Pelodiscus sinensis: one gene and its partner. The protein of the gene in region 1 purifies or fractionates together with the protein of each later gene. This does not show direct contact. Links are inferred from orthologs where the notes say so. Each region holds a gene or a part of one and is shown on either strand. Other genes may lie near its edges.

What was found. Proteins that work in one complex are often made in the same cells at the same time.
Region 2: the proteins of MYH9 (region 1) and ENKUR purify together in Homo sapiens (affinity purification with western blotting; 4 studies listed by BioGRID, with this or other methods). This does not show direct contact. The link is inferred for Pelodiscus sinensis from reciprocal best matches to the Homo sapiens genes MYH9 and ENKUR.

Annotation. Positions count from the first base shown.
Region 1 is NC_134711.1:93,418,179-93,425,920, reverse strand, and holds the start of MYH9 (myosin-9), read right to left. Parts: upstream 3,003-7,742; 5' UTR 2,855-3,002; intron 1,863-2,854; exon of another isoform or gene 1,727-1,862; intron 1-1,726. UniProt on the Homo sapiens protein: Cellular myosin that appears to play a role in cytokinesis, cell shape, and specialized functions such as secretion and capping. Required for cortical actin clearance prior to oocyte exocytosis. Promotes cell motility in conjunction with S100A4.
Region 2 is NC_134712.1:224,794,600-224,801,902, forward strand, and holds the start of ENKUR (enkurin), read right to left. Parts: upstream 3,022-7,303; coding exon 2,906-3,021; intron 1-2,905. Other genes in the region: uncharacterized protein LOC102450762, read left to right, coding at 3,516-3,519. UniProt on the Homo sapiens protein: Adapter that functions to localize a calcium-sensitive signal transduction machinery in sperm to a calcium-permeable ion channel.

The sequences.
Region 1 (7,742 bases):
GATTTATTGCATCATTTAATAAGGCATTTTTAAAACAAGATCAATAAAATATTGCTTCATGCTCTCTCATTGCCTCCTACCAGTCAGACAGTGAGCATTTGGATTATCAATATGCCTGAGTGCTTTGAACATTTGTGCGTGAGACACATTTATAAACAATTAAAGTACTAGTTGCTCCTTACTACAGACTTAACACAAGACCTTCACTTCCTGGCATTTTTCATATCAGGGAAACAAATGCTTAGGAGGACATATGGGGCATGTTTACACTGCAATTAAAAACTCAGACTCGCAGAGCTAAAGGTCTGTTCAAGTGCAGTGCAGACACTGGTATGCAGCCCAGATTTTGTAAATATCCCATCTTGGTGTGGGAGAGTTCAAGTTTTTAAATTGCAATGCAATCCCCCCCCCCCCCAAAAAAAGTATGAAGCCTCCAAAGTGAAGATATATGTACAGCACCTTCCAGTGCTACCTTATGGATAAATATTTTCCTGAACTTTTCATTATTTCAGAGTCGCTTTACAACATAGGTTTAAAGCTGTGATAATACACAGACTTGTTTTCTTTAGTCCATTTTAAGGAAACCAATCAGAAGACATCTAGAAAAGAAATACTGTACATTTTCAACAGCCACACCCTCTCCAAGAATAAAGAGGTCAAGTTGACAAGGGTCTAGCTCCGTAGTGTCCAACACACTAGCCACATGTGGCTATTTGGCCAGGTGAGTGTGGCTAGTTAGCTATAGTAGTAGCCATTAACAGTAGTAGTTATTGTTTTCAAAACAAGTTGGACACCACAGGTCTAGCTACTTAAGTCTTAGAGCAGTAGACATGTTGTTTTTAAAGTTACAGACTAACAAGTTGTCCCATGGCTCCTTAGAGACCAACAAATACATAGGATTATGAACTGAAAATTTACAACATCAGATCTCGGCAAGACAAGTTAAACATTGAGAGAGAACACTACATAAGGCATTCAACCTTGTCTGCACTCTTCAGACTGGCTATGACCCATACATTTCATAGCTATTTATCTGGCACCATTCATGATTCTACACCAATTTTCAAGAAAACTAATGAAAATCTTAGGCAGGCACTACAGAAAAAAAATCTCTTTTCTACAAAATATACATATCTGTTGAAGTAATGCTCAAGAAAAACAGGCCACCCTAACTAGCCTCTATTGATGTGAAGTTTCAATGAGAAGGTAAACTGTACAATTTACTACAGACATAGCTTCAGAGGCAGTTTCACATGGCCAGAATTCCCAGCTCAGTAGTATCATGTGCTTATTAGGGCTGTTAGCATTATCCTGCACAATTTCAAAATACTTAATTACTAAAGTAGCTCCACTTTCATGTATTAATTTTCTTCCAATTGGTACCTCTCAACATACCACATAGTAGAAATATTTGCTTATCTCAGCTAAGCTTAACATTTGAATGCCCCAACTCTAGCAACTCTGAGCATATGAGTCAATACAAAGCTGTACCAAGGTTTGCTTTCACTGGAGTGCCACAACCAAATTAATCATAGTTACCTGGTGATTAAGTTATAAATTATTCTTTATACAAGTGGTAACTAATCAGAGGGGTTTCACCTCTTAAAACAAGTAACTCGGAAGTCACCTATGCTGATTTAAAAAAAAAAAAGAGTTAAGGATGTGAGTTTCAATTTCAGAATCATGGTTCATAAAACTCCACACCTCTATGCAAATTACTCTGTACCTTCTTTACAGAGAAGGGCAGGGCGTCATGGCTTGCTGATTCGGATTCCTTCTAGAATAACACCCATTCAGCTTCGACTCTCAAACCCGTCAGTTTAGGTAAGACAGGCCTGTTAAATAGTCTCCTCCGCAAAAGCCTTTAGGTTCTTAGCCCAGGCTTGGGGCGGCAAGGACAGAGAGACCCACTAACAGGAAGCACTGCAGAGCCGCACAAAGGTGATTCAGCAGCAGGTCCGGGATGGAAGAGGACACTAGTAGCCATTGTGAGAACTGCCTCCTTCCCCTGACCAGGGCACACGGTTACCATCACACTACAGCCTACTCCACAGCACAAGCTCCTGCCTTAAGGCGCATGTCACACCGCCGGGAGGCAGCTCAGGACAGGAGCGCGGATAAGCTCGCGGGGGTGCGCCTCACCCCCAAGGGCCGGGGGGAGGGGAGGGACGCCAGTGTTTGTGTCTGCCCCAGGCGCAGGTCGGCGGGTAAGAAGGCGGGAGGGTGTCCCGGTGGCGGGTGCTGGATCGGGGCAGGAAAGCCTCGCGCTCTCGGCGCACTGGCAAGCTGCATCTCGCCCCGCCACTCCCTCCCCGCGGCGGAGCCAGGCGAATGAGGAAGTCTGGGTCGCAGGGCGGAAGCCAAGCCCGTTGCAAGCGCCTTGCCGCGGGACTGTCAGCCCGTGACTCAGGGCGGGAGCCCTGACAGCTGCCAAACGGTCCCTTCGCCCGCCCGTTACTCTCGCGCGCTGGAGGGGGGGGGGGGGGGGGGAACCCGCGCGAGCGGCACAACCCCCCCACCCGCGCGCCGGCAGGGAACGCCCGCGGCACAGCGCCACCGCGGCGGAAAGGCGCGGGCACGTGCTTCGCTGCCCCCCGGCCCAGGGCTCGCCCTGCACGGGACGCGGAGGGGGCACCTCCGTGACCCTGACCTAGGCGCTGCGCCCGGGGCGGAGAGAGGAGACGGCAGGTAACGGCTGCGCTGCCAGGCCGGGCGAAGCCGCGGGCGAGACAAACGGCTCCCAGGCACCGGATCCGAACCGCCCGACCGCCCCAACCCGCTCTCAAAGCCGCTAGCGCCAGCCCGAGACCCGAGCGCTGCGTTCCTCGTCCGCGCCCCCGCCCCCGCACCTCACCTGAGTCCAGCCAAAGCCTGCGAGAAGCCGCGGCGCCTGCTCCTGGCGCTGAGAGACTGATCCTCGGGGCCGGCTCCTTGCACGGACTCGCCGCTCTGCTCCGGCTTCAACGCCTCTAAACTCCCCGGCACTGCGAGGTTTCAAGCCGGGGGGGAGCGGCCGCGGCCAAGCAAAAGCCCCGCCCCGTTTCCCTATCGCCCACCAATAGAAACACCGCTTGCTCCTGATTGACTTCGACCGCAGCCAACAGCGGCTGAGGAGGCGGGGCAAGTGGCGCTAGGAAGAGGGCGTGGCGTTCTAAGCTCCGCCGCTAACGCTCGAGAACAAGCGTCACTCCGCCCCCAAAGAGCCCAGGCCAATGGACGCTGAGTCAGGGAGGATGGTAGATTGACATGATGGCCAGCCAATAAGAACTAGAATAGGCCGCGTTTTGTCAGGCTGGCCCTGCCAGAGTCAGATGAGGTAATTGGCGGGGGCGGGAGAGGGGACGACAACTTTGTGGGGGTGGTAGAGGCTTCCCATGCGTGCCCCACATTCACCTCACTCCAGTGATGTCCAGCCACACTCCCACAATCATAGCTCAGCCTCTAGGTGGGTGGTGCCTGGCCTGGCCCAAGGCCATTCATCCCATATGCCTTGCCCCAGTCTGGCACCTCCTCCACCAGAGCCAGCCAGGAAATCCCTGGGGCAGGTGCTACTGGGCCCATCCTGGTGTCACCTTTTCATTCCTGTACGTGCAAAACCATAGGCAACAATTTTCTTTGCTTGCTGAAATTTCAAGAGCTGAGGTGACCACAGAAGAGGATGAGGTCATAGTCAAGATTAGAAGAGAGAAAGATTAAATCATGGCTAAGACTTTCAGAAGTCAGTGGCAGTGAAATGTGAGCAATGTTGCAGAAGTGTTGATAGGAAGCTTGACCTATTTATTAGTAGGTTTATGATTACTGAAGAAATGGGTCTACATGTTTTGTAGTCTTTAAGGTGCTGCTAGACTGTTTGTTGTTTTTTACATTTTCCCAGTTACAGACTAACTCTGCTGCCCCTCTGAAGCTTTTGTACTATATAAGTATCAGGCTTTTTTCAGGTAAATAAAAATGCAAGGTACCACCCACGTGGAGCCTCTCACACAAGCGTTATGGGGTAAACAATGTCATGGGCATAGACAATGTAACAGAAAGGTTGAGAGTAATGCTAAGCTGATCAACCGAAAAGGCAAATGAAAGGCTTAAGCTGAAAAAAAATGAAGAAATGAAAATGTGTTTGAACAAGCATTTCTTGCCCAAGAGAAGCACTTCTGTCTTAGATTTATCTGAAGGAAGTTGGAACAAAGTTACAAGTTTATTTGATCAAGACACAAAAGGTGGAGTAGAAGTCGCTAAAGGTGGTGAAAGATACATATGGCTAAGTAACAGGGAGGTAAAAGATACAGATGAGTGAAAAGAATTCTGGTGGAAAAGACTAAGAGGGCTGCAAATTTAACTGTGTGGGACTCCATACAGGACAGATCTTGGCCTTGAAAATGAGCTATCACCAAAGACAGAATGCAGGGGAGGCAGGACAAGAGGGAACCAGGGACACCTGCATAATCAACAGTATTGATATGGATAAAATGATGGAATGGCCCATTATATCCAAAGATACATTTAGGAAAGAGAAAGACATCAGCGGCATCATAAAACAAGTCTGCTTATTACTGGAGAGTAGTTAACATAAGAATTGCCATAGGGTATGTCTACACTACCCCGCTAGTTCGAACTAGCGGGTAATGTAGGCATGCCGCACTTGCAAATGAAGCCCGGGATTTGAATTTCCCAGGCTTCATTTGCATAAGCGGGGAGCCGCCATTTTTAAAACCACGCTGGTTTGAACCCCGTGCAGCGCGGCTACACGGGGCATGAACTAGGTAGTTCAAACTAGGCTTCCTAGTTCGAACTACCGTTACTCCTCATTTCACGAGGAGTAACGGTAGTTCGAACTAGGAAGCCTAATTCAAACTACCTAGTTCGTGCCCCGTGTAGCCGCGCTGCACGGGGTTCAAACCAGCGTGGTTTAAAAAATGGCGGCTCCCCGCTTATGCAAATAAAGCCCGGGAAATTCAAATCCCGGGCTTCATTTGCAAGTGCGGTATGCCTACATTACCCTCCTAGTTCAAACTAGGAGGGTAGTGTAGACATACCCATACTGAGTCAGACCACAGGTCCATCTAGACTAGCATCCTGTGTTGGAATGTAATAGTGCAGTTGATTGACCAATTAACTGATAAGCAAAAGCTTATAGGTTAACTCTAAACTACACGCATTTCCCTCCCTCGGCAACAAGTAAATTTTGTAGCAGGCTGGCCAGCAGCCTGGCTCAGTTCTGGCTCATGCTGGATCTGGGACCTGCCCCCATTGTGGCTCTGCACTTTAAGTGTATTAGGAGCTAGGTGGGCAGGCAGCCCAGCTCAGTTATGTTTCGTGCTGGGTCTGGGAGCTAAGGACCCCCTCCCCCCCAACAGGGGTTGCTGCCACCTGCACTACTGTCTCTTCATCAGTGGCAGCAGCACAGGGTGACAAGCAGCCAGTCTGCAAGAGGAGCTGGTTTTTAAACTAGCTCCCCTAGCAGATTAGTTCCCACCTACCACCCTGCACTGCTGCCAGGCCTGCCCACGGGGACTATAGAATAATCGACTAACCGATAAGAATTCATGAGTACATAAGAACATAAGAATGGCCATACTGGGTCAGACCAAAGGTCCATCTAGCCCAATAGTCTGTCTGCCAACAGTGGCCAGCGGAGGGGGCAGACCAAAGACAATGATCAAGCGATTTGTCTCGTGCCATCCATCTCCAGGGACACCATTCCTACCCCTGGCTAATAGTCTTTTATGGACCTAACCTCCATGAATTTATCTAGCTTCTCTTTAAACTAGAGGTTACTTGACTATTTAATTAACCAATATTTAACATCCCTCATCCTGTGTTCCAACAGTGGCCAATACCAGGTGCCTCAGAGGGAATAAACAGAACAGGTAGTCATCAAATGATCCACCCCCATCACCTATTCCCAATTTCTGGCAAACAGAGGCTAAGGACATCATCCCTGCCCATCCTGGCTCATAGGCACTGATGGACCTATCTTCCATGAACTTATTTTGGGTTTTTTTTAACCCTGTTATAGATTTGGCCTTCACAACATCCTCTGGCAAGGTGTTCCACAATTTGGCTGTGTGTTGGATGAAAAAATACTTTTGTTTGTTTTAAACCTGCTGCCTATAAATTTCATTTGGTGATGCCTAGTCCTTGTATTATGAGAAGGAATAAATAATACTTCCTTATTTACTTTCTTTATACCAGCCATGGTTTTATAGACCTTTGTCTTAGCCTATCTTAGTCATCTGTTTTCCAAACTGAAAAGTCTCAGTCTTGTCAACTGCTCCTCATATGGAAGCCATTCAATACTAGAGATGTGAAGGACTAGTCAACTATCCGATAAGCAAATGTTTATCAGATATTCGACAAGCTAGTCGACTAGTCACTTCCCCCTCCCCTTACTGCCTGACACCAGGCTCCCTATAGCATTTAAAAGCTGCAGTGCATCATGGAGCCTGGGGTCAGCAGGGGAGTCCTCAGCTGACCCTAGGTTCTACACTGTGCTTTTACCTTTGAAGTGTAGCAACATCCCTAGGTCTGCTGCTACACTTCAAAGGCAGAGGCACCTTATCAACTAATCAAATAGTCGATGCAAAATGCATTGACTATTCGATTAGTCAATTATTCACAATTTAACATCCCTATTCAATACCCCTAATAATTTTTGTTGCCCTTTTCGGAACCTTTTCCAATTCCAAGATATCCTTTCTGAGATGGAGTGACCACATCTGCATGCAGTATTGAAGATGTGAGCCTACCATGGATTTTTATAGACAATATGATATTTTTCTGTCATTTTATCTATCTCTTCCTTAATGATTCCCAACATTTTGTTTGCTTTTTTGACTGCTGCTACACATTGGCTATTTTCAGAGAACTATCTACAATGACTCCAAGATCTGTTTCTTGAGTGGTAACAGGACCAGGTAATTTAAGCCCTATTATCTTGTATGTATAACTGGGATTATGTTTTCCTATGTGCATTACTTTGTATTTATCAATATTTAATTTTATTTGCCATTTGGTTGCCAAGTTATCCAGTTTTGTGAGATCCCTTTGTAACTCTTTGCAGTCGTCTTTGGACCTAACTATTTTGAGTAGTTTTTCTATCATCTTCAAATTTTGCCACCTCACTGTTTACTCCCTTTTCAAATAATTTGTGAATATGTTGAATATGACTGGCCCTATTACAGATCAGTTTAAATTCTGTGGCTGGAGTGATACTGGGATTGAAAATGGTCAAAGATACCAGTGTGCAGTAGGCTATTAAAACATGATAGGAATATGCTTTCTCAACCACTTGGCTGAGGAAGAAAAGACAAGTGGCTGTTTGGTCCCACGGGATACTGAGGCCGGCCTGGAGGCAGGCCCTAGGCCTGGTGACAAGCACATGAGGTCCAGAAGAGCCACTGCCACTTCAACTGGGGAGGTCATGATGCCTATGGCATGATCTGTGGTGCGTTGCTCCAGCATCACTTCTGAGGTCTGGAGCGATGTGTGCGCCTTCTGGAGGCATAAGATTCTGCCTTCAAATTAGATGTGTATTCTGACGTGGACCAGGGTGGGGTAGAAGCCAACAGTGCCAGGGATCAGTGCCACAGCGAGGAGGAGTGATGCCTCCTCCTTCTTGGTTTCTCTTGATGCTGGGCACTATCAGTGCTATGGAAGCTGGGTGTGTTTGTGCCACCGTAGACACTGATAATGATGCCATGGCAGTCAGTGCTGATATTGGTGCTGTGATAGCTGGTGCTGCACTT
Region 2 (7,303 bases), on another chromosome or scaffold:
CAAAGCCAAACCAGCCAATGGGAGCTGTGCAGCACATGGAGACCCGCTACCCTCCTCATCTCCAAAGGGCGTGCCACTCAGAGACACACATGTTGGCCCTACCAGCCAGCGCTTTGAATGGCATGTGGGGGCATGGCAGCCAGGGAGCCTGTCCTAAGGTCCTGCTGGGCTGCTGGCTGGGAGCTGCCTAATGTATGCACCTCCTGGCCAGAGCATGCACCTGGCACCCTACCTCCTCTCATATGCCAATTCCCTTCCCCAGGTCAACCCAAGCCCTCTGCATGCTCCCCTGCACTCCTGCCCCGGGTCATAATCCAACCCTCTGCACTCCTTCCAAAATTCCTCCCCCAGGTCAGAATCTTCTCTTGCACCCAACCCCCCCATCCAGACCCTACACTTCCTCCTGTATCCTAATCCCTTTCCCCAGGTCACAACTCCTTCCATCACCCAAACTCTCTCTCAAACCCCATACCCGTTCCAACACTCCAATCAGAGTTCCCTTCTATACTCAACTTCCATTTCAGATTCCACACCATCTCCATTAATATAATAGAAAAGTGCAGCCTATAACCACTTACCAAGTTCTTGGAAGGATTCCCTATAACAAATTATTGCACACCTCCATGGTACTTGTTAATGACATAGTCTATACTAAAAGGACCACTGGTCAGAACTGGAACAGCAAGTTCTATGTTCCAATACCATATATTTCTTATATGGCCTAGGGCTGTTCCTGAAAAACCGAAATCAATAGCAATTTTGTCATTGGCTTTTGTGTGTAGATTAGGTCCAAGAGTCCAGGCATGGAAGAATTTATATACTATATGGCCCATAATACTGGACATATCTATAATGCAATAAAGTTGTTCTTGAGAACAGCACCCTAACTTACTTTGTTCAAGGGGATGCTTATGTATGTGACAAAAACCTAAACAGAAACAACAAAAACAGCAACAAAAGACATGTGGATTTATGGCAGAGATGGTGAACCTTTTTGGGGTTGGAGACTGTGTCCCACAGAAAACTCAGTTGGTGGCCTCACAGAAGTGAAGCAAAAATACAAAACAAAACAAAACAGCACTCCTCACTGACATCACCAACTGAGAAGGAGAAAGGCACTCCCCACATTCCACTCATACACTAGAACCTATGGTGGCCCAGGGTAGTAGATTTTGTGGTCTTCATCCCCATGGAGGGGCAGCGCGGAGGGGGGAGGGAGGCTGGAGTGCCAGGGCAGGCTCCCCAGTGCTGGGGGGAGCCCTGAGCCTCAGGGGCCAGATCCAGACAAGCCAGGGGCCGAATTCATCTCCCAGGCCTGACGTTCAGCACCCCTGTTTGATAGGTACATCTATCTTTTTGTCAAGATATGGATTCCTTGTGGTATCAAAATGCAGTACCCCAAAATGCATTTATGTTAATAATAATACATAACAATAATACTGAGATAAAAACAGGAGTGTATTAGACAGTCATAGAACAAATTGTACCAATCCTCCCAAATGGCAAAACCCTAAGCTGTTACCAAACAGCATGTGACACATTTTCACATATGATAAAAGCAACAAAAAGAGACTATAATACAACCTAGTTAATCAAAAAAGAACAGAAGGAATTGCTTTGGTTAAACAGGCTCAGCTGAATGGGAGTCATGGTAGCAGCATTATCAAAAATGTGCACAGAAGTAAAAGTGTTGCAAGGGCCAGCCAGATCACTTATTTTTATTACTGTCTTTAGATGGGGGTGATCTAAAAGACAGGGAAATGCCTTCAGGTTAACAGGAAGATTGGGATTCAAAAGATTCACATAAATAGCACTCTACTGTACTATTGTGTTTTCCCTGAAAATATTTTGTGTGGCTTATGGTGGAATACAAACTAGACACAACTAGACCATGAATAAGAATGAATGGGCAGAGCAGGTTGCAACTACCATGGCTCACAGTTTATGAAACTACAGAGAGAGACAGAGAGAGAGAGAGTTCTGTTCTTTGAATTAAGATGAATTTCAATTTCCCCGCTAGTGGTCCTTATGTTTTTGATCATATAAATAAGAAAGGCCTCACATTTCCCTAATATGGGGAAAGGATTTTTCAGAATTGTTGAGGTTTTCATTTAAGAATCTGCTTCCTTTCATCAATGCAAGCTAAGTTACTGAGGACCAGAATTTGAGGTCGTGGCCTTTGAATTCAGGGAAGGAGATAGATATTTCCACTTATATGACTTTAAAAATTAAAAACAAACAAACAAAATGTAGAGCTTTTGAAAGGTATGAGAAGAGTTTTAGAACAGCTACTCTCCTTGATTATTCTTATATTACATCACTGGATTTTTCTCCGCTTCCTTCCCAAATGTGAATTAGACAAGTCCCCTTTTATGTGCTAAATGTTTTGTGTAACTTACAAGAAAAAGTGAAGGGAGTGATTTCCCAGTTATGGAAGACACAGACCATAGGGTATTGAGGGTAGTACTGCAACAGAATTTAAATGAAAAGCTCAGGGCAGGAAACACCTTTCTCTCTATTTTGTAGAATGCCAAGAGCATTGTTGGTGTACATTAAATAATAAAACATGAAAAGATGAAAGGGCCTGCAACATGCTTTATTTTTCACTTACAGATGCTGCAGAGCCCAGAAGTGTGACAAATTAGCAATATGAACCTCTACTTGAGCAAAGACTGGATACTCATTCACACTTCCATTTATTTTATCAAAGGAATGTGCAAAAGGTTATATTCAAACTGGTTTTTACATAGTAATATAATGATTAGTTACAAGTCACAGCAAGTGTGTTATTTGGATATATATTTACAGTTTTGTCATATCAGTTCCCCACGTGAGCTAATAAAAATTGGAGTGTATGACTTGAGACAAAGTTGCAGAAGAAATTGATTCTTTCTCTCCCACATACCTTGGTAGTTTGACAGGCTTCTCCTCCACCCGGGGTAGGAGATTATATATGCTTTCTTGGGCGCACAGCGCGGTCATCCTTGGCCTGAGCAGGCCCTGGGGGTGGTACATTGACATTGTACGTGCACCCTTCAGGTTTGCCCCCTCTCTCTCTTCTCTGCCATTTTCTCAGCCCTCCTTATCTCCCTCCACTTCTCCCGCCCCTCCCTCCTTCTCTCTCCCCCGCCGCTCTCATCTCCAGCGCTCCTGCGACTTCTCTCTTCGCTGCCCCCTCCTGGGACCCGCTCCCACCCTTCGCTCCAGCCCCCTGCCCCTCTGCGCCTCATTCCCTCCGTCCCCTTCACCCCTCGCTTCTCCCCGCTGCCCGCCCCCGCCGGGAGCTCCCCCCTTCCCTCACCCTGCTCCGCTTGCCTCGGCTGAGAAGATGGTTCTACCAGAGAGCTGCCTACTGTTGTCTCTTCCGTTGCTATGGGAAGCGTTGCTTAGCAACGCTGGTGTGGAGGGACTGGGCTATTTGTGACCTCATTTCCTTCTTCCTGAGCCCGCGAGTAGTTTGGGAGTGGGAGAGAAGAAAAAGATGGAAGCCGCGCACGCGCACTAAGCTGAGCAGCATGGGTGAGTCCCCCCCCCCCAGGCGCTGCGCAGGCGCACTAGTATAGACCTAGGACGGGAGGCGGTGCCGCGGAGGGCGCCCCACACTGGGGAAATAATTGCGCACGCGCTGTTGCCCTGGAAGACTGCCGATGCGATTGCTGCGCATGCGCAGCCTAGAGGCGGGCGAGGTGGTGCCGCGGAGGGCGAGGTTGTGTTTGCACGGCGGCACTTTGAGGCTCACGTTGCTGCTAACGTGCGGGCTCTGAGCCGTGCGCCAGGCCCGGCGCGGCCCTGCCCTGCTGCTGGGTACGTCTGACCCTCAGTGACTCCGTTAAGGGCTCAGACTGAGTTTCTGGGGCCGCTGCCCGTCCTGGAGGGCGCTGCAGCGGCGAGGTAGCCGGATCCCTGGGCGAGCTCAAAGTCCGTGCGGTGCTGCCGATATCCCTCCGCCCCCGGAGGGATCCCTGTGGGGCAGCCGTAAACTCACCACATGGGGGGGGGGTCCCTATAGCAGCGGGGGTTCGGCTGCCTTAGCTCCCCCTCCCCGCGCGGGGGTCCCCATTGCAGTGAGGAGCAGCATCCCCCTCTGCCTGTGACAAGGGGCGCTGCTGCGAGCGGCACTCTTGCCTCCTAGATGCCGCCCTGTTCCAGCCCCGAGAAGTCTTTGCCCTGGATGGGTGGTAGGGGGAAACTCGGGATAGTTACAGGGGCATAGTCTGGAAGGCGGTTTATTTTGAGGGGCGGTCTCTTCCCCCACACTGTGTAATAGCTAACCTTTGCTTGCTTGCTTTCTGTTGGTTTAATTTTTTTTCACGTGAACCAGAGAATGTCACCAGGACATCCTTTATTTTGAACTGGTAGCTTGCAGTCATTGTAAACACTTCAGACCTATAGCACCATGCTTGGAGCTCCCTATTTCGCTTTCTTTTCAGGCTGGCAACCCAGTTTTTGAAAACTGTTGCAACCCTCTAACACTTTCTATAAGTGTCAAAATGTATCTGTGATCATAAACCTATGAAATTTATTGTGTGTGTGTTTGAAGAGCTTGGCAGAAAATAGGGTGCGTCTATACACTCAAAATAAGATTTGCTTATCTTATTTCAAGTCTATTTCAAACTAGCTTATTTTGAAATTTGGTGCATCTACACAGCGCCAAATTTCAAAATAACACACTTCTTGGAGACCTCCGGGAATGACGGTTACATGGATGTCGAAATAGCATGCTCATTATTTTGAAAAATATTTTGAAATAATGGGTGGCTTGTTAAAACATGGGGTAGCTATTTTGAGATACCTCCGGTATCCTGATATAGCTGCTCCGTGTAGCTGTATCCATAGATAACCTGGAGGAGTATGGGTATGAAGGAGTGAGACAGTAGAAGAGGGTCACCTATGCAAACTCAAAAACATTGAAGATTTTGGCCCCAACATTATTCTGGAAACTTTCTTTGCTTTAGAATTTTAATAAAATGTTCAGTGCCTCACAATCCCTTTGATTGTATTTGGTGACCTCCCTTTGAACTGTGACCTTCCAGTTAGGAAACATTGCTCTATGTCAAATAGTGATAGAAATGTAGCCGTGTTAGTCTGGGGTAGCTGAAGCATCTTGTTAGTCTTTAAAGTGCTACATTGCCCTGCATTTTGCTTCTGCTCTATGTCAGCGTTTCTCAAAGTGGTCCACAGATCCGCTCTGAGAAACCTGTTAACTGGCCACTCCGGTTTGTTTATTTACTGGCTCTGTAGCCACAAAGCCTTGTGGCCCCCATTGGCTCTTGTTCACTGCTTGCAGCCAAGGTGAAGCAGCGTTGGTTGGGCCACCACTTCTGGTGGTTCCCGTTGGCTGCAAACAACAAACCAGAGCTAATGGGAGCTGTGAGGCTCTGTGTCTGCAGCGCTAGTAAATAAACAATCTGGAGCAGCCAGTTAGCAGGTTTCTCAGTGTATCCGTGGACCTCTTTGAGAAACGCTGCTCTGTGTCATTACTTTTATAGTGCTCATCACCACAGTACTTTAATATCTACCTATTCTTCTATTTACCTCCTCTATATAATTTGTAATAATTTAAACTGCCATTCCATTTATGAGTTTTCATTTAGGTCCGCTGTTTCCTATCTTCCTTGTGTTTGTGCATAGTTCTTTTTAGTAATAATTCGTATCCTTTTTTTATTTTAGAACTACTACATATTCTGCCTCATTCTATATGTTAGAAGTACATGTTAGATAATTTTAATTAAATCAGAACTTTACATTTGGCTCTTTCCAGATATTTTAAAGACTGCTTAATAAATGCGTTCTAGCTTTGAATCCCAGAGATTTATACCCAGAGCAGCCCCTGTTTGAGCCTCCCCCCTGTTCTGCCCATGGTGAGTGGTGTGCTGCTCCAACCCCCATCAGCCAGCTGGTTATTTTAACCTTTCACATCCCTGAATTATAGTATATTGAAAAACAAACAAAACCTCCTAAGTGTATCCTGGAATCTGTTGTGTCCATTTTCTGCTTTTTTTTTTTCAGTGCAGGTAACACCACCCCGCTTTGGACTTACATTCCCACATTTTTTTTCCCCCTCTACTGAATAGTTCCATTTTGGCTGACATTTTGTAATATCCCTGATATTGCTTTAGGATGTGAAAAGCTCCTCAGCTTATCCTTTTATGTCGCATTGTAAAACATCACATAAGCCTGCAATTATATACACACATATACCCCCACCCCAAAAAAATTACATTAAAAGAAAATTAAAGTTGAAATTTTCAGTAATGAGAATTTAGGAAGTGCCAAAATTAAGATTCTGTGCATCCTTAGTTTGGTCCCCTCGTCTGTGCATTGTGATATGGTCTTTAATTTTATGATCATGTATTTTACCACAAGACCCCAGCCTCATTCAATGCACAGGATAAATGGTGTTCACTGAATGGATACCTATTCAATATTTGATTGTATCTTGGTCGTTCAATGTATGACTCCATGGCACTTAATACTGCACACCCTTCACAGTGTGCTCTGAATATATTTATTCATTCTCTCATGGGCTTTGTTATGGTGTTCTTCAGTTAAGTGTCTGAGGTCCCAAACCTGAGGTATTTAGACTTCTCATTGAAGTCAGTGGGAGTTAGGCATCTAAATATCTTTAAAAGTCTTGGCCTGAGTCCTTCTCAAACATTGATACATTTATCTTCACATCTCAGTGGTTAGGTAAAATGGCAGTATTGTGCCCATTTTACAGATAATTAACTGAAGCATAGAGATTAAGGTCAGAAATGTCTGCTAACTTTGATTGCCCAATGTGAGAAATCTAGGGTTTGATTTTTAATATTAATGTGGCATTCTATAGCACTTTGTTTGCTCAGAGCAGAATTCCCATTGAATTCAGTTACAATTATATGTTCAGCACTTCTGCAAATTAGGAACTAGGTATCTCAAGTTACACACTCAAAGAACAAGGAAAAACATCAATAGATATTCATAGATTCTAAGGCCAGAAGGGATGATTATAATTGCCTTATCTGACTTACTGTACAGCACAGGCTATAAAACTTAATATCTAGAACATACCTTTTAGAAAAATATCTAATCTTGATTTTAAAATGTCCCATGATGGAGAATCCACATGGCACTTCGTAAATTGTTCCTGTAGCTAATTACCACCACGAATAAAGAGTTACACCTTGTTTTCAGTCTTAATTTGTCTAGCTTCCACTCCTAGCCATTGGACAGTGTTATATCTTAGGACAGTTTTATGTGCTGCATGGGGAGTGCACATGGAGCCACATGCATCCCCAAAGTGAGAGGCCAGAGCCAGCTAGAA